Arabidopsis thaliana: one gene and its partner. The protein of the gene in region 1 interacts with the protein of each later gene in a pairwise test. Each region holds a gene or a part of one and is shown on either strand. Other genes may lie near its edges. The genes, in order: AT4G32250 and AT3G46160.

Region 1 (9,194 bases):
GATTTGGACATTTATTTGCGGTGACTTGGAGAAGACAATTAACTTTCCTCACCTCTTAACTCCTGGTTTCATGGTACCGTAAATCATTATTTGCCTTATATCTGTCCACTTTGCGTTTGTGATACTGATGATCTCTTTTTCTGTTATGTTCTCACCCAGGTTGTATTACTCTGCTCGTGCGTGCTGGCTTTCGTCTTAAACTACTGCATTTTCCTTAACACCACTCTCAATTCAGCTTTGACGCAGACAATTTGTGGCAATATGAAGGTTGGTTTCACTTTATTAGTATCTCCTGTACAAAAGAAAAATGTGAAACTAATCTGCCAAGGAGAGACTTTGAACATTATATCATCGTTGCAGGATCTATTCACGGTTGGACTAGGCTGGATGCTCTTTGGAGGACTCCCATTCGACCTGGTAATTTTCTTCAACATTCCTATTATTCCATTGAACCTAAAATCGGCATCTACGTTTGCTACATCTCACTACCTTTCTTTTTTGGTTCATTTACACAGATGAATGTGATTGGACAGCTTTTTGGTTTCTTCGGGTCAGGTTTATATGCATATTATAAGATCATCGGGAGGTAACAAGTCCAAAACAAAGAAAAGCCAAAGAAAACATGAGTGGCCTAGTGATGATAAAGGCTCATTAGTTTAAGGAAAAGTTGTTGACTAGTAGTGTTCAAGTGGAGATAGAGTGTTGAGCTTTTGGTTTTGGAGGTGACTTTAGAGTAGTATTAATAATGAAAGGCCTAATTTTTTGAACTTGCGTCTTGTTCTTCTTCAGTTTTCAACAAGGCGAAAGATTAGACTATGGACAAAACTGATTTTCTATTTTTTTGAGATCTACTGACTCTAATTTATACAACTGCTTCTTTTCATTGTATATATGTAGTATTATTATACACACTTGAGAAAAGGATGACTGTAATTATACAACTGCTTCTTTTAAAGCGTTCAATGATGATTTGGTACTAGGCATTCTTGCAAAGAGCTCGGTGAAAGCAAAAATAATTACTTCAACGGTTAAAATTGCAAGTACTAGAAAAGAAAAAAAGAGCACACCCAGTGGGACTCGAACCCACAATCGCTTGATTAGAAGTCAAGCGCCTTATCCATTAGGCCATGGGTGCTTGTTGCTACATCCTTCTGAGTTGTTTTATATATCATATAATTGTATTTGTAATCGTGTTCCATACCTTCTTCAAAAGCAAAACATTCTCTCGCCGGTAAAAAAGCAGAGATCCCTTAACCATGATTTCCTTCAAAGTATATTCCCCTTCCTCATCCTCTTCCCATGCTCATGGTATCAATCTTCCACTCTGACCCAACTCAAGCTCTGATTTCTCCTACTCCGTCGCCAAAAATCTTGGAAGTAGATGTCTTAGCCCGGGAAAATCAAATTTTCTCAATAATCAATCTATGGACGTTCCACCACGCCGCTCTTTGGCTGCGTCTCTCTCGCCTCTCCGGCTAATCGATGGACTCCCTCGTCGGAGGAGTTTCAATTATAATCAGATGCCTGAAGAGCCCATCAAACTCACTGTTCTCAAGCTTGATGGATCTTCCTTTGGTACCCATTACTCATCTCCTACTTGCTTTTACCATTAAATTTTATATGTTAACTAAGAATGTTTGCTCAAAAGAACTAAAAGTTATTGCTTTACAACGAATTCTAGTTTTTTCTGTGTTGTTTCGTTTGAGGTTGTCCAGAGAAATTTGACTGGTTTCTGAATTTGTGATTTAGTACAATTCCCTTTAAGCGTAATTTGGATTTGTAGGTATTCAAGTGTTGAAGACAGCGACAGTAGGGGAGCTCAAGATGGCAGTAGAAGCTGCGTTTTCTCACTTGCCCATCTCAGGCCCTGGCAAGATCTCATGGTACCATCTCTGATTCTTTGACTTGAGTTATTCTTATAATGATTCCGATTTTGTGTCTATATTAGGATAAGTAACTGCTAAATGATTCTTGATGATCCTATTTTTACCCTGTGATTATAAAGGCCGCATGTTTGGGGACAATTCTGCTTATCTTATGAAGATAAAAGATTGATTAATGAGTCTGAGTACCTCACTGAATTTGGCATTAAAGACGGCGATCAGGTTACCCTTTTACTCTTTCTTTATCACTTGAATACATCAAAGAGTCTATGCTTATGATATTATTTCATCTTTACATGTGATGTCGTAGAACGATGCATTTGGGTAGCTAGAGTCTCTAACCTGGATTATGTAGATTGTTATAGTCCAGTTTAGTTTTGACAACATAGTGCTTTGTTTTGATGCTCTATAATGTGTTTTATCTGCCATCATTCAGCTTCGGTTCATCCGCCATATCTCAAACTACTGCATGTTAATGGTGAAGCATAAGAGCAAGACACCCCGTGTTTCTTCTTTCAAACAACTCAAACTGTAAGAACTTTTGGTGTTAAAATGTTTTTAGCATTTCATTATCCGGAATCTCCATAGTAATACATGTTTTTGGACCAATCAGGTTCTCAACCACACCGGAAACCCGGAAAAAGAACGTAATAAGGGAAGTTGAAGAAGACGGTGTTGTTGACTCCATCCCTCGGAGCCAACCAAGCTTTCTAGCAACTGTATTGGGAGGTTTGCTCTCTTACAAGTCGACGCCAAGTCAACGAGGTACTAAATACAGAAACGTGACTGCAAGTAGAGTTTTTAACAAACTCATTGCAAGGTTTCGTTTCAAGTGTAATTCCGAGAAGGATGTGTGGAACAGAAAAAAACTCATATCCGAAACCTAAAAAAAAGCACTCCTTTTCTATCATTTGATTCTTGTAGAGATTTTGATTTCCTAATCTTGGTGTTTATATACAAACTTGGATGTTGTGTGTGTGCAAAATGAATAAGGCATTGTGTATTTACGTTTGTAGTGGATATAATTGCAACCTTACCGTCTTAGCCATTTTAACCTTATCTGGTACAGCGTTCGCGTTTGCGTTTGCGTTTGCGTTTGTGTTTGCGTTTGTGGCCAAAACGCAATCATTTACTTTTTAATTGATTTTCCGCTCCATTGATTTTAATCTGACGACCACAGCCTTTAGCTTATTTGTGTGGCGAAGAGAAGAGATAACATTCCTAAGCAAATCTCTTCTCTCTCCCATTCGTCTCCAAAGAGATTACAGTTTTGAGCATTTCTCATCTCTCGAAGCTCTTCTCTGTGTGTGTGGCGATGGCTGCTAATTCGATAATGGCTTCCTCCAAACCCCTAATCTCCCTGTCATCCAACCAACAACCAAACCGAGTCCAAATTCCCAAATTCGCCAAACTTCCCCAAATTCCCAAATCCCTCACTTCCTCCACCGATCTCCGTAGCAAAGCACTATCACTCTCCTCCGCCACCGCCAAATCCTTAGCTTTAATCGCCGCTTTCGCTCCTCCGTCGATGGCGGAGGCGATGGAGAAAGCACAGCTCTTCGATTTCAATCTCACGCTTCCGATCATCGTTGTTGAGTTTCTCTTCTTGATGTTCGCTCTCGACAAGGTCTATTACTCTCCGCTTGGTAACTTCATGGATCAAAGAGACGCTTCCATCAAAGAGAAGCTCGCGAGTGTTAAGGACACTTCGACTGAAGTAAAGGAGCTCGATGAGCAAGCCGCCGCCGTGATGAGAGCAGCTAGGGCTGAGATCGCCGCCGCGCTTAACAAGATGAAGAAGGAGACTCAGGTATAAAAGAAACAACAATGCACTCAGAGTGAAGAAATTGGTAAATGGATTGTGTATTTTTTTTGCAGGTTGAAGTCGAGGAGAAGCTAGCGGAGGGAAGGAAGAAGGTGGAGGAAGAGCTAAAAGAAGCTTTGGCGAGCTTGGAGAGTCAGAAAGAAGAAACCATTAAAGCTTTGGATTCTCAGATTGCTGCTCTTAGTGAAGACATTGTCAAGAAGGTTCTTCCTTCTTAAATTATATTTTTGTTAACTGTGTAATTCTCTGTCTCTCTATCTCAAAACTTATTTACAAGAAATTACTGTAAATCTCTTCTTCTTCTTCTTCTCTGTTTCTTGGATTGTTCGTCGTTCAAAGAAGAACAATTTTTATTTTGTAAGTTTATAAATAATTAGCTCTCTTCTGTCATTTTAGATGATTAAAGTACAAGTATGTATATCGAGGAATTAGTTGTTACGGATAAAATCTTCATGCGAGTCTTATCGTCACTAGATTTATGTCTATTTGAATCGATTGAACAAAAACGCAAATGGCAGGAGTTGCTTGTGTAAAGAGTAGAGAGAAATTGAGTTTTCAGAGCCAAACACTCCAGCTTTGTCCGAAAGTGTTCATAGAAAGTTAAGTTGACTCTTCCATAACGAGCTCAGGTCCAACAACGAAGCCCAAACCTCAGTTACTCTATCTTATTATTGGGCCCTAAAACGAAATGGGCCCTAAAGCTAACGCGGGTCGGTGTTTGATTAAAACAAATGACGGGGCCTCCACGCCTTGTTCCTTCTTCTTCTTCTTCTCACGCTCACGGTTCTCTTTCTCTTCTCTGTCTTTTTCAGCTTCTGAAGTTACTTGTTTCAGTTCCCGATGATCAATTCTTAGTTTTTTTGGCTTGTTTTCTTCGTCTCTCTTTCATCAGGCCTTTGGAGTTTTGTGTTACCATTTTCGCTCGCGTCATTACTGGTGTTAGGGTTTTCTTCAAAAGCTTCTTAATCCGTCGAAATTGCTCTTTTCTCTCCCTCATTGTCGGTTACTTTCTTTGACCCTTCTCTTATGCTTCGTAAGCTGTGATTTTTTTCTCTGGTTTCATTGCAACTCTAGTTCAATTTCAGTTTGATTTCTTCGCTTAAATATTTTGTTCTATGAGATCTGAGAGTTGTCTTTATTGTTGGCTTATTTCAATCAAAACATTGGCTGGTTAACTTTGATTGACTCATGATTGATTCTATCTAGCATTAATTGGTTTTCTTTGTATTTGGTTACTGTTACTTGTTCTTCTACTTCTCCACGATTCTACTTCTCCACGATACTGTCTCTGTCCCTTGTTCGTATCGCTAACTTATTCCCATAGTGGGCACGTCTCTGGTTTCTGACTTTTCTCTTCAATTCCATGTATTGCGTTTTACCATGATGTTTAGTTTCGGAATCATTTCTTGCTTTCTCTATCTGCTTGTAAGAATAGTTAACAAGTGAGAGGAAAGTCCTTTTTGTTGCTTAAATAGTTTGATTTCTGTTGTTGAGTTTATGCGATATCCCAACTGGTGAAACTGTGTTTATTGGTTCAGACAGAGATAAATGGCTTCAAAGATTATTGCTGGCAAGCCGGATGATACCGAGTATGAAATCATTGAAGGTGAGTCTGAGAGCGCTTTAGCAGCGGGGACAAGCCCTTGGATGAATTCATCAACGTTGAAGCTTCGACATCGAATTGGAAGAGGTCCCTTCGGTGATGTTTGGCTGGCTACTCATCATCAGTCAACTGAGGACTATGATGAGCATCATGAAGTGGCCATCAAAATGCTTTATCCCATCAAGGAAGATCAAAGAAGGGTTGTGGTAGATAAGTTTGAAGATCTCTTCTCTAAATGTCAAGGACTAGAGAATGTCTGTCTGCTCAGGGGAGTCTCTAGTATCAATGGAAAGGTAAGTGAAACAAACATGTGTGTTTCTCTAGTTTCACCGTATTTTCAATTTTTGTTTAATAGCTGATTTGTATCGTGTAGATATGTGTCGTCATGAAATTCTACGAGGGCTCTCTTGGTGACAAGATGGCTCGGCTTAAAGGAGGAAAGCTTTCACTGCCAGATGTTTTGAGGTAATTCTTCATTACACAAGTAAGAAGCTCATTGTAGTAGCGTCTTCTTCATTGTAATATAGAATACTAATGTCTTTCTTATTTATGTGAACCTCGTTTTACAGATACGGGGTTGATCTGGCTACAGGGATCCTGGAGTTGCACTCAAAAGGGTTTCTCATTCTCAATCTCAAGCCCTCTAACTTTCTTCTCAGTGATAACGACAAGGCCATCCTCGGGGATGTTGGGATCCCTTATCTCCTTCTTAGTATCCCTTTACCAAGTTCTGATATGACAGAGAGACTTGGAACTCCAAACTATATGGCACCAGAACAGTGGCAACCGGATGTCAGAGGTCCCATGTCCTTTGAGACTGATTCTTGGGGATTTGGTTGCAGCATTGTTGAAATGCTGACTGGTGTACAACCTTGGTCTGGGAGATCTGCCGATGAAATATATGATTTGGTGGTGAGAAAGCAAGAAAAGCTTAGTATCCCCAGTAGCATACCGCCTCCTCTCGAGAACCTACTTCGGGGTTGCTTTATGTATGATCTTCGAAGCCGACCTTCGATGACTGACATCTTACTCGTCTTAAAGAGGTAAATCATATCTTGACACCGTTATATATTCAGTTTGAACAAGATCGATTTAGAAGTGTTTATATTTCATTATGTATGGTCATAGTATCTTCGGAAAATCCCATAGTTTTTATAGTTTCGTGTCTGATGTTTTAATATTTTTTTGGAATCCAATTTCTTTATTCTTGATGGAAATTTTAATTGGCTACCTTTAATTGTGATATTGACTGGAACCGATTTGGCAGCTTGCAGAACTCGGAGGAGGAACAGGTCAGGAGAGGCATTGATAGTAGAGAAATCAGGAAGAGCTCGGCTACTCTTGGTTATACAGAATGGTTTCTTTCAAAGGATCATCTGCAAGTGCGCGACACCGTGCGTTCAAGAAAGCCTGCCAATTCGTGTAAGCATGAGAACATGGATGTGCCAGAAGGAATGGTGGTTGGTTTAGAACGTGACTCCACAGACCCAGATGGATTTGTGCTAGTTAAAGTCCATGGTGTACATGATCCATTAAGGGTTCACGTATCTGTTCTTGAACGGGTAACTAACGGCTTAGCTTCTGGAGATTGGGTGCGTCTGAAGGTCAGGAAAGACAAGAGGCACTCTCCGGTTGGTGTTCTCCATTCAATTGACCGTGAGGGAAATGTAGCTGTTGGATTTATTGGGTTGCCAACTCTCTGGAAAGGGACATCATCGCAGCTTCAGATGGCTAAAGTATACAGTGTGGGTCAATTTGTGAAACTCAAAGCCAATGTTGTCATCCCGAGATTCAAATGGATGCGTAAAGGTAGAGGTATTTGGGCAACTGGCAGGATCTCTCAGGTTCTACCAAACGGTTGCCTTGAAGTGGACTTCCCTGGAATGTTACCTTTTGGAGAGGAACATGGAAGCTATCTTGCAGATCCGGCTGAAGTAGAGATTGTGAATTTCAATACATGTCAAGGAGCTGTGGAAAAATATCAACATCTGGAGGATTTTCATTGGGCTGTGAGACCTTTGCTTATTGCTATGGGTCTATTGACAGCGATGAAGTTAGGGATCTGTGTCAGGAAGAAAATAGGAAGGTCAAAGGATGGGAAACAACGCGATGGCTCGACTGGACAAGGTGACTGTAAGATTCCGGATGGTAAGGGCTCTGACAAATCTAAATGGCTTGTGTTCTTTTAGGTCTGCTATGAGACACAGACCTTGTCTGGTCCATATATTATACTGTTCTAGTCATAATAACGTTTCATGTACATAATGACGTTTTTCTTTTTTGCTCTTTAAAATTACCAAAAAGCTTTCACGCACCAAGTGTTACTTGCAATTTGCTTAGACAACGACTTCTTACAAAGTTAAGTATATAATTACGATAGCCATGTAATTGGAGATCACAGATGTTTTTATATTTATTGATTAAGAGAGCAAAAAAAAAAGAGGCAGTGTTGCATTTGGCTAATTCCGTGTGAGATCAATGAACTATTCAAATTCTACTTATTGAAGAACACATTTAATCTCGGAGCCTACTTGAACGACTCTCTTAAAACATCACATGGTATATGCAGCGTCCATTACAAGTAATAATGAACATAACCAAACCAAAAGAGGCAAGCTTGCATGATTTTGATGTCCATGGCATTTCCTCAACTTAAAGCAAGAGGAGAAGACCCATTATTGAACAGTCAACAAGAGCACAGAGAACCCAAATTCGAACTACAAGTAGGGAACAAGGGAGTTAGCAAAGATACAGATGACCTTCATTAATCTTAAAAAGTATCAGCTTGAGAACATAGGCCACAATGAGAATGAAGAGAGGGACTAAAGAGGCCCCATGCTCTGTCTGGTGTCAGCGCTACATGGTCCAGGACAAGTATGGACTTCCCCACCCCCCGGAGACAGAAAACCAGCGTGTAATTCTGATCAGGAAACTGAATCCAGAAAGGTGTTCCTCCTTCAGGCATTTGGACCACAGAACGGCATGAGCTACTAGGTAAGCTTAAGCTTGCTCTTCCAGTTTCGTGCAATACGAACATAGCCTGGATCAATACGACTTCTTCTTTTAATACTACTTGAGCCACAACCATCTGAAGAACTTGATGAATACAGAGACAACCGATGCCACAAAATGTAACTAATACAAAAGCCCTAGGTACCTGCAGTAACAGAAAAGATAATATATTCCAAGCAAAGACAGTGTGTTTTGCAGTAGTCTCCAGCACTTTGATGCAGATGGTACTTTGAGACAGTATGTGAGGAAAAGATTTTGGTGATCAATTGTTTTCAACATTAACTGATTTAACACAAATCTTTCATTGGCGACATCATAGAATAGCGATTAGGGTATGAATTTGATCACAAGTGTCTAAACATAGATAATAAGATTATGACATGAAACATGACACAACTAGATACATGAAAGGATTAAAAGTTTCTCTCCACCAGATTGGAATTCGTCAATGAGTTCTTGTTTGATTGCCAACAGGTCCTTTGTGCATACCCTCCAAATAATTTTTCAGTTTCTCCCAACTTTGCAACGTAGATTCCCAATCCTGGAACATGGAAAAGGCAAACAATTCAAAGTCTTTACTTCTTAAAATCTAAATGAGCTCAATGTAATCCAAAAAGGATTTTACCTCAAGGTTTTCCCTAAACTCTTCGTTGTCAATAGGAAAAAAATACTCAGCTGGAACAAAAAAAAAAAAACCCAATTCTTAACAACAACAACAACAACAGGAACAACATCAAAAGGCTAAAGAAAAAAAGGAGAGAAAAGAAATCAATGTTCGTGACATACAGGCTTTGTATCCTCCATAACCTGCTGAACCTGTGCCTAGCCATTTGCACACCATCAAACCCTTTTCCGGCAATCCTGCTGCTGC
Region 2 (9,194 bases), on another chromosome or scaffold:
CCCAAATCTAGCTTCACCATCATGGGAAAGCTCATTGGATTCTATATGGAACATGGATGCAGATAAAAGTAAGATATCGTCTTACTTTGCAAATGATCAGTTTCCTTTCTGTTTCCAACACAGTAGATCACCATGGTCGTCAGGTTAAAAATTTTAAGATTTAATTCATTGAGATAAATCTGTTTTATATATATGTTATATAACTTATAAATACAATAAAACCTAACGACTGTAATAGTTGGTTGATGAACACAAAAACAGCTTAAGTCTGGACTCTGTAATCATACAATGTGTAGTAGTAGTAAGTAACCAGCCTAAGTCTATGTCTAGAATGAATAAGAATAAAAGTCTTGTGATCCCACTTTCTTTTATTTGTTTGTCAATGTATAATACAACTCAATACTCTAATTCTAAAGTAAACATTTCAAAATTTCAATTTCTTTTCTCTGTTTCTTTTTGGTGACATCTCTCTTTAATATATCTAAGGTTTAAGGTACTATACCAAAATAAGCAAACTTGGACAATAAAATTATGAAGAAACTCGCTTATTCTGACCGAAAAAATATCATTCTTGAATCTTTTGATATGGCATATACTCTCTCATTCAGTGATTTAGTGAAGAGACATTAGGTACTACGTACCATTTATCTTAATCCAAGCTAAAACAAAACAGGAACTGGAACATAATCAGTGATGTATAACATTCAATTGTGAATTGAATGAGTGTGACAATATTATATAGAAATATGAAGCAAAAACCACACAAACTATTTAAGAACTTACGGGTGAATAGAGTAACTCCAGAAACAGAACCCTAATTAGACCATCGGTCCATCACGACGCAGTCAAATCCTTATAATATTGGTTGTTGGATGCAGACCCCAACATCCTAGCCAAGACGACGTCGTTTGTCGACATGACCGAGCATTTTGAAAATTTACAATTTACATTGTTTGTTTTCCCTCCCGCCAGATTTTGTTCATAAAAAGAAAAGAATCTGTGTCAAGCCTCGAATATCCTACGGTGTTGGAAGCTGATCCACTATTTAAAATGCTTCAAGTGGTTTAAATTTCAAAACAACACAAAATATTTTTCCAAAAAAAGTATTTTTCAATACACATTTAAAATTTGAGAAAATATTTTGTTAATGTTAAAGTATCACTTCATGATACCGATTAAAAACAAGGAGATTTGAGTACATGTTAAATTTATAATTATAATATAATATAAATAACTAAATTCATAAATTTGTTTATATTACTAATATTTTCTAAATTAAAAACTAGTGGTTTTAAAAAATTGAAATTTCTTAAAAAAACTAAATATTAGTTAGTGTTTAGGAAATTAACGTTTATCGAAAATATAACTGGTGATTTGAAATAAAACAAAAAAACTAGTCTAAACACTAGAATTTTAAAAAAAAATCGTATCAAATAATAAAATTGTAATAATAATATTTGAGAATGCTATTTAGATTACATTTCTTGCCTTAATTACTGAGACAAATGTGATTGGTCTACTAATGGATTGCCATGTATATTTTTATTTATCTGTAAAAGTGTGAGAGAAAAATGTCTGCCAATTCATAATTCATTAAGGAAATTAAGAAAAACAAATATATTCGGAAACTACGCGTGTTTGTATGTAAGCATTAGATTTTCTTATGAAACTGAATCTAACGAAGATTTCTTAATGAAACTGAATCTAACTACGATCTTCTCATTAACCGCTAGAAAAAAGGAAACTTTGACCAAAGTCAAAGCAAGCTTATAAAAAGGAAATTTTCGGTTTCTTCTTCTCTGTTTTTGTTTTCATCACTTTCAGAAATATTTTACAGAGAAAAGCGAGAGAAAGAAGAAGAATGGAGATGATAGAGACAGAGATTTCGTTTTCTGGTTACCTCAAAAGATATGGTCATCTCAAATTCATCGAGTTATCAGACCCTCCTCTCACAAAAAGACCTAGATATTCACCCTCGGTGATCCCTCCTCTTCCTGATCAAAACCCTATTTTCACTCTTAAACTATCTCCGATCATTCTGAAGAACAATAAAAGGAAGAGATTTACACCGAAGAGTAGTAGTAGTCGCAGTGTTGAAGAGATAACCAAACAAGTATTCGACGGAGTAGTCAGAAAGTCTTCATCTTGGATCAAGTCTGAGTTCCTTGGAAGAGGCTCTTACGGTTCGGTTTATCTGGCGACAAGTAAGAAGGCCAAAACTAAAACGACCATGGCGATCAAATCTGCAGAGATTTCACGAGCTTCGAGTCTAATGGACGAGGAAAGAATATTAACCCGTCTCTCATCTCCTTTCATTGTTCGTTGCTATGGCCACGAGATTGCACGTGAGGAGACTCTGTTCGGTGGCGAGAGAACGAATTACAATTTGATTCTCGAGTATTGCTCTGGCAAAAGCCTCTTCGACTTGGTCAACGATAACCTTGGAGGATTGTCAGAGAAAGATGTGAAACTTCTTGCTAGAGATATCCTTTACGGTCTCGACTGCATCCACAGGGCAAACATTATTCATTGTGACATTAAACCGGAAAATATCTTCTTAACCCCTGTCGAGAACCGGATAAGACCTAGTGGGTATGTGGCAAAGATTGGGGATTTCGGTTTAGCATTGGAGAAGGGTTCAAGCGAGTATGAAAAAGCATCAGGTCATAGGAGAGGCACAACGCGATACATGTCTCCGGAGCTTATACGACATGGGATTGTTGATTACGCTGTTGACACGTGGGCTTTCGGATGCACAGTTTTGGAAATGTTAACGGGACAACAAGTATGGGGAGAACATAGTGATCTCGGTTCTGTAGATTGGGACATTCTCATCGGTCAAAGCTGTTACATTCCTTATATACCGGATTGGTTATCTGAAGAAGCACAGCATTTTCTCAGCAGATGTTTAAAAAGGGACCCTGCTTCAAGGTGGGGGATTGGTGCACTCTTGAACCACCCCTTTTTGCAATGTGGATCTATAATTGTTTAGTAACGGTTTTGTTTATTAGTTTTAAGTTGTAAGATGAAGTATCCAACTCTCTATTTGTTATGTGTTTGTGGAAGTTTTGATTAGCATAAATCGTACTTGCGAGATAAATGATAAGAGACTTTTATAACTTTCTTATAGAAACACCAAATTTAATTGAGTATTATAGCAAATCACAATATTGTTTCATTAAGATAGAACAGATTCTGATGTCTAAAGCTAACAAGAACAAACACAACAAGACCAAGTGTTCCATATTAGACAACTCCACCAAGCAAAGCTAACATTGCCATGAAGTAAAAGAGCAAAATCATCATTGGTGAGAAGAGCTGCTGCAACTTTTGATATCCCATGAAATATGCTTGTCTTCTTCCTCGTAGAAAGAAATAAAACCTTCATAAACTTGAGCAAATGAAAGAGGAAGCAACAAGGCTAGGTGTCTCTTGAATAACCAATGATCACTATCAGCTCCCCCTTGTCTTGGAACACATGTCATGTCATTTCTTGTAAAAGACAGTGTAGTGTTTGTGCTATCAACAAAGAGAAGAAGAACTGGAATTGGAACACATCTCTGAGCAGCAACATGACACAAGCATCACACAATACATCACTCAAAATTGTGTGGTGTATTGGACTGAACCACGCTCTCTGCGACAGAAACCATCAAAACCACCAAGCTCTCGAGCAACAACATCATCACTAACGAAGACAATTCCAGAATCTGAAATTATCATTCATTCCAGAAGCTAAATTCATACTGAGAAAGGGCCAGTATCCATGAACATATAACATCAAACATGAACCAGAGAGTATGAATGACTTTCTGGTGGTCGCGTAAGAGATCCAACGATGTAACCATTATACCAAATCCTGTTGGTTTAGCAGAATCATGAGCTGGCATGAGCATCACCTGAGAAGATGTAACCATTTTACCAAATCTCAAACTAGTAGCTGAGATCTACACGAAGCTCGTTTTTGGCGATGATTCGAACAGAAACACGATCAATTTTGATGAATCAACTGGATATTGAACAAATTGAATACTTTGATCGGAGAAGAAACAAATCGGAAACACACACGGATTGATCGGAAAAATCAACCAATCGGAGAAATTAAACTATCAAACGAAACGAAATTGACTGTAGAATCAGAATATATAAATTGGTTTAGAAAGTATACTAAACCAAAGTCTAAACCAAAGATACTAACCAAACTAAACCAAGTGTATAGACTCTATTACCACAAATTCTGAAATTATCTAGCCAAAAGTCAGACAATTAACATGTGACTACTGGTTTTAGTTTCGCATATTCTACAAATTCTGAAATCAAAACAATAAACTATGAAAAAAATAAGAAGGAAATTTAGTATACCGAAACCGAAATTTCTGTTTCTTTTGAGATTAAACTAATCCGGAAAATGGAGACTCTAACCAAACCGGGTCGGTTTTGCTGATCGGAAATAAATAAATTAATAATGAATAAGAAATAGGAAACTCGTATACCGAAACCTAAATTTCTATTTCGTTTCAGATTATACTAATCAGAAAAATGGAAACTCTTACCGAACCGGTTCGGTTTTGTACTTGACTAATACTAAACCCTAAAAGAAAAAAGGAAATTTGAGTCACAAGTTATAAATAGTCTCTCTCGCCTCTTCGCTCTGTCTCATCGTTTTTGTCTAACAACAACAATTCAGAGAAAATAGAGAATTATAAAAAGTTCTAGAGTGAAAAATATGCCGAGATCTATGTCTTCTGATCGATTAGTTCAGTGGGACGACGACTCTAACCGTCCTCACAAGAAGTTGAAGCATTCAACAACGATTTCAGAGACGAGTGTGATAGAGGATGATGCTGATTCGTCTACCCAGATGGGCCATTCGATCAAAACCATTCCAAAAAGCGATCGGTGGGTCGTAACTCGTTATCTTGGAAACTCTTCACGCAGTTCTGTTTACTTAGCCGAGAGCACGATCGAAGGAGAGGAAGACTATCTTCCTGACGAGATGACCATTAAATCTATTGAGATCTCACAAGCGTCACGTCTTATGAACGAAGAAAAGTTTCTATCCCGTCTCCAAAACCCTTTTGTTGTGTCTTTCTACGGCCACGAGGTCACTATAGAGAAGGACGGGAAGGATCCATTACTCGAGAAGATGTATTACAACACGTTACAAGAGTACAGCTCAGGAAGAAACCTAGCGACACACATTGAAAAAAACAGAGGAAAATTACCGGAAGATGATGTGAGGAGTCTCGCTAATGAGATATTGCTTGGTCTCAAGTATATTCATGAAGAGAAGATCATTCATTGTGACATCAAACCAAAGAATATCATACTTCCGTTTGAGAATAACCTATTTGCTCAGATCGCTGGTTTTGGAAAAGCGATAAAGAAATGGTCGGTTGAGTATGGTGAAGGATTAGGTCATAGGATAGGCACGTCACGATTATTGCCCCCGGAGGTTATGATGGACATGGTTTTGGATTATGGTGCTGATGTGTGGGCTTTTGGCTGTACCGTGCTTGAGATGTTGACTGGAGAAAGAGTTTGGAGTGAGTTTGGTAAGCTTGATTGGGAAGGCTGGAAGACCCTCATTGGTGAAAGTGGTAGCGTTCCCTATATTCCTAATTACTTGTCTGATAAGGCAAAGGATTTTCTTGCAAAGTGTTTGGAGAGAGATCCATCTAAGAGGTGGTCAGTTGATAGTTTGCTCGAACATGAGTTCCTTAAATGGATTGACGAAGACGAAGAAGAAGAAATATACGAAGAAGAAGAGGATGACTTTTATGATGGAATAGAAGATGTCGATGAAGAATATGAAGCAAATCTAGAAGCTGAAGCAGCAGTTGAGGAAGAAGAAGCCATTGAAATAGATGAAGAATATCCTAAAGAGGAATCGGAAGATGACCTATAAGAATATATTCATGTTAATTTCTACTCTTTTTTGGATCTTGTTACATTATATATCTTTATTTGTATGACAATGCAAAAGTTTCACTGAAAAATAGAATTTAAGGGGAAATTACTCCAAAAATAAAAAGAGGTAGAGCACAACAATATTCAAAAATCAGAATCAGAGGTAAGGTTTAGTAATATACTACTACTAACCAAGACGTTGATTACTTTCTCCAATAGATAATAAGCTTCTACAACAAATACAGATCCTAAGCTTAGGTTCAGAAAAGCAAAAAAGCAACAAATTAAACACCAGCGAAGAATTCTCCATTGATCATCTAATAACCATAAATCAAAAGCTCCAGTGCTCCACTCAGTTTTTGATAAAAATATACAAACTCTAAACAAAATTCAACCAAGTAAAAAAAGAATCAGGGAATCAAAATATATTGGGCCCAAAGGCCCACCATTTTGTACAGATGAAATTTTTGATAAAAAAAAGAATTGGTTTACAGTTAATGCAATTACTAATGAAAAACATGGAATATGTTCCTACATGTATTCACTTATTATTGCACACAAGCAGAACATATAAGGTTCGAATTTCAGAGAGATGAAAAGATGGGCACACCGGGCAATGTAGCTCCGGAATCAACAATATATGTATTCCCGGATATATATTGAGAAGAGTCATGGATGAGATAGCGTACGAGAGAAGTTATCCCTGGATCAACGGTCTGTTGCAGCTTTAATGGTACAGTCCTCTCGGTCACATTCTTGAACCACTCCTTTTGCATAAGACCTTGTGTGATCTCTGACTTGAAAATCCCGGGCGCAATCGAGTTCACTCTGATCTTGTGCACACCTAACTCAACTGCCATCATCTTTGACATGGTATCAACACCTATTTTGGAACAAGCATATGCAAGTGCACCGGGCAATATACCGCGAATCCCGGCAATCGATGAGATGTTTATCACCGAGCCACCTAGTTTAGCATCACGCATTAGAACACAAACATATTTAGATACTAACCAAGGTCCCGTTAAGTTGGTCTTGAAGACGTTGTCCCATTCTTCCTTTGACAAATCCAAACTCGACTTGACATTGCCTCTGATCCCGGCATTGTTGATCAACGCATCGATCTTTCCAAAGATTCCCCAAGCTCCCTGAACCACTTTTTGAATGGTGGCTGCGTCTGATGTAACGTCTAGCTTAAGAGCCGCGGCTTGGATTCCAGTTGAACTGGAGCTGTTGATTTCAGAGCAGAGAGAGTTGAGACGATCGACACGACGAGCTACTGCAATAATCTTACAACCAGCTTTGCCTAGATCAAGACAGATCTCTCTTCCTATACCAGAGGAAGCTCCTGTCACAAGAACCACTTTGTCTTTAAGTTCACACCACGGCTCCAATTGCTTCAACACCTCCTTCTCTCCAAAAACAAAAGTCAAAGTTTGATGATTGCTCATATTGATTGTTTTCTCTGTTTATGTTCGATGGAGAAGAAGAAGCACATGAAAAAACTTAGTGATATAAAAATAGAAGTGTCAGAAGATATTTAATCTGTATATACCAGACTCGAACAAGTCCCATCCATAACAAAAGACGGTCCTATACTTACACTCTTAATTATTTCATCATCAGATCGACAATTTGTTTATTCGTTAGGTTTGATTTTATTGTTATCCTGATTATATTTGTTTTTTTGGTCAACTATCAATTCAACACGACGTTTTCAAAATGCAATGATCTTTTTCTGTCTTGGTTTTGGCAACAAGCAACAATAATGCATATAATATATATAAGTTTATTATATTATAACCACGAGTTTCTCGCGGATCGATTCGTTTATGATTCAGAGTTTGGACTCCACAATAAACTGTTCTTTATTATTGGAAAGTATCTAAAAAACAATTATGGTGCAACGTTCTCTATCACTGCAAGGTTTATGTCACCGGAGCTTATAAGGGACAATGTTTTGGATTATGGTGCGGATGTGTGGGCTTTTGGGTGTACCGTGCTTGAGATGTTGACAGGAGAACGAGTCTGGTAAGCTTGATTGGTAAGGTTGGAGAACTCTCATTGGTGAAAGTGGAATTGTTTCATATATCCCTGATTACTTGTCTGATAAATAAGGCAAAGGATTTTCTCACCAACTCTAATGTTGACTTTAGTGTAATTTCTTATATTGTGTCAATCGTAAACTCTGTAATAACCAAACTTTTAAGTTCTGTTTGATCCTTTAAACCAAAATTGTTACTGTATTAAATTCAGTTGATATGAATCAGCCATTGTATCACAAATTTATGATATTTCTTGATACAATATCAAAACTCCATAACAATTTTACTTCACAATCATTTTAACAAGTCTACAGAAACAGTAAATAAATTGATCCTTGGTCTCATTGGTCTCTATAAGTACCCGTCCTACGTCATGTATGACTCAACTGCTTTAGTTTTGTTAGTTAGATGCCTCAAAGACAGAGGGATCTTTAGATTTGGCTGGTAACTGTTTAAGCCTCAGAGAAGATAAAGCTCTCTCTGTGCTTTAAGGGTTTCCCTTCAGAGGCTGCGCCTCTTCATCCCGTGGAAGTTCTTGAGCTGCCGGCGGCTTTTCTGATTTCTTCTTCACGAAGGTTTTAGCATATAGAGATCCGAAAACAATTACCTGCGCCAGTGAAAAGTGGTTTTAGTTTCGGGAACAAGGAGAGATGAAAAAGAGGGAAGACAAAGTAAAGAGAGGATTGGAAGAGCTTACGGATCCAATACACTGCTCCCAGCTAAGCGGGTGTGAGAACCAAATGCAGGAGAGCATGATGCTGGCAAGCTTTTTATTTTTCAGACAACGAAGAAGGAATTAGATTTGATTATATTGTGCTTATGAATCAAAGAGTTGAGATCAGACTAACTTACCTGCCTTGTAGTCATTATGGCAGCAAACGTTAGAGCACCAAATGTCCTAATGGTGTAGGAAATGAAAAATTGGCTGGCTGTTGCTACCTGCAAAACAACGTGTTCATCTCTGGTCAGTTGTGACTACTGCTGCAATGCAATCATAGTCTAATAAATGTAATGACTAAGCTGAAAACTTACAGTGGAAAGCAAAGCTATGTCAAATAGGCAATCCCTATGTCGAGAAACAAAGTCTACTGCTGGGAGTAAATGTCCTTGCAATATAAGGCCTATATCAACCAAGAAATTTCACATATGAGTAGCAAAAAAGCATGGTCAACCTGATTCTCGAGCATTTTTAGGTCCACACATTGAGGTTTATACAAGGCAGCTGAGTTCTATATCGAA

Evidence for each region.
Region 2: the proteins of AT4G32250 (region 1) and AT3G46160 interact in a protein complementation assay, tested with the Arabidopsis thaliana proteins (one large-scale study listed by BioGRID).

Annotation. Positions count from the first base shown.
Region 1 is NC_003075.7:15,568,591-15,577,784, reverse strand, and holds AT4G32250 (Protein kinase superfamily protein), read left to right. Parts: upstream 1-4,382; 5' UTR 4,383-5,256; coding exon 5,257-5,604; intron 5,605-5,684; coding exon 5,685-5,776; intron 5,777-5,880; coding exon 5,881-6,354; intron 6,355-6,578; coding exon 6,579-7,500; 3' UTR 7,501-7,741; downstream 7,742-9,194. Other genes in the region: AT4G32272 (Nucleotide/sugar transporter family protein), read left to right, coding at 1-73, 160-267, 361-417, 516-590; AT4G32270 (Ubiquitin-like superfamily protein), read left to right, coding at 1,425-1,575, 1,784-1,883, 2,006-2,105, 2,320-2,414, 2,497-2,770; PDE334 (ATPase, F0 complex, subunit B/B', bacterial/chloroplast), read left to right, coding at 3,199-3,693, 3,762-3,926; AT4G32240 (uncharacterized protein), read right to left, coding at 8,769-8,864, 8,949-8,998, 9,110-9,194. UniProt on the Arabidopsis thaliana protein: Serine/threonine protein kinase acting as a regulatory component of the plastid protein import machinery by phosphorylating import receptors (e.g. the A-domain of TOC159, TOC120 and TOC132).
Region 2 is NC_003074.8:16,946,229-16,955,422, forward strand, and holds AT3G46160 (Protein kinase superfamily protein), read left to right. Parts: upstream 1-4,726; coding exon 4,727-5,908; downstream 5,909-9,194. Other genes in the region: MYB48 (myb domain protein 48), read left to right, coding at 1-148; AT3G46140 (Protein kinase superfamily protein), read left to right, coding at 1,862-2,992; AT3G46150 (uncharacterized protein), read right to left, coding at 3,303-3,541, 3,630-3,688, 3,787-3,917; AT3G46170 (NAD(P)-binding Rossmann-fold superfamily protein), read right to left, coding at 6,495-7,361; UTR5 (UDP-galactose transporter 5), read right to left, coding at 8,443-8,562, 8,653-8,721, 8,808-8,894, 8,988-9,076.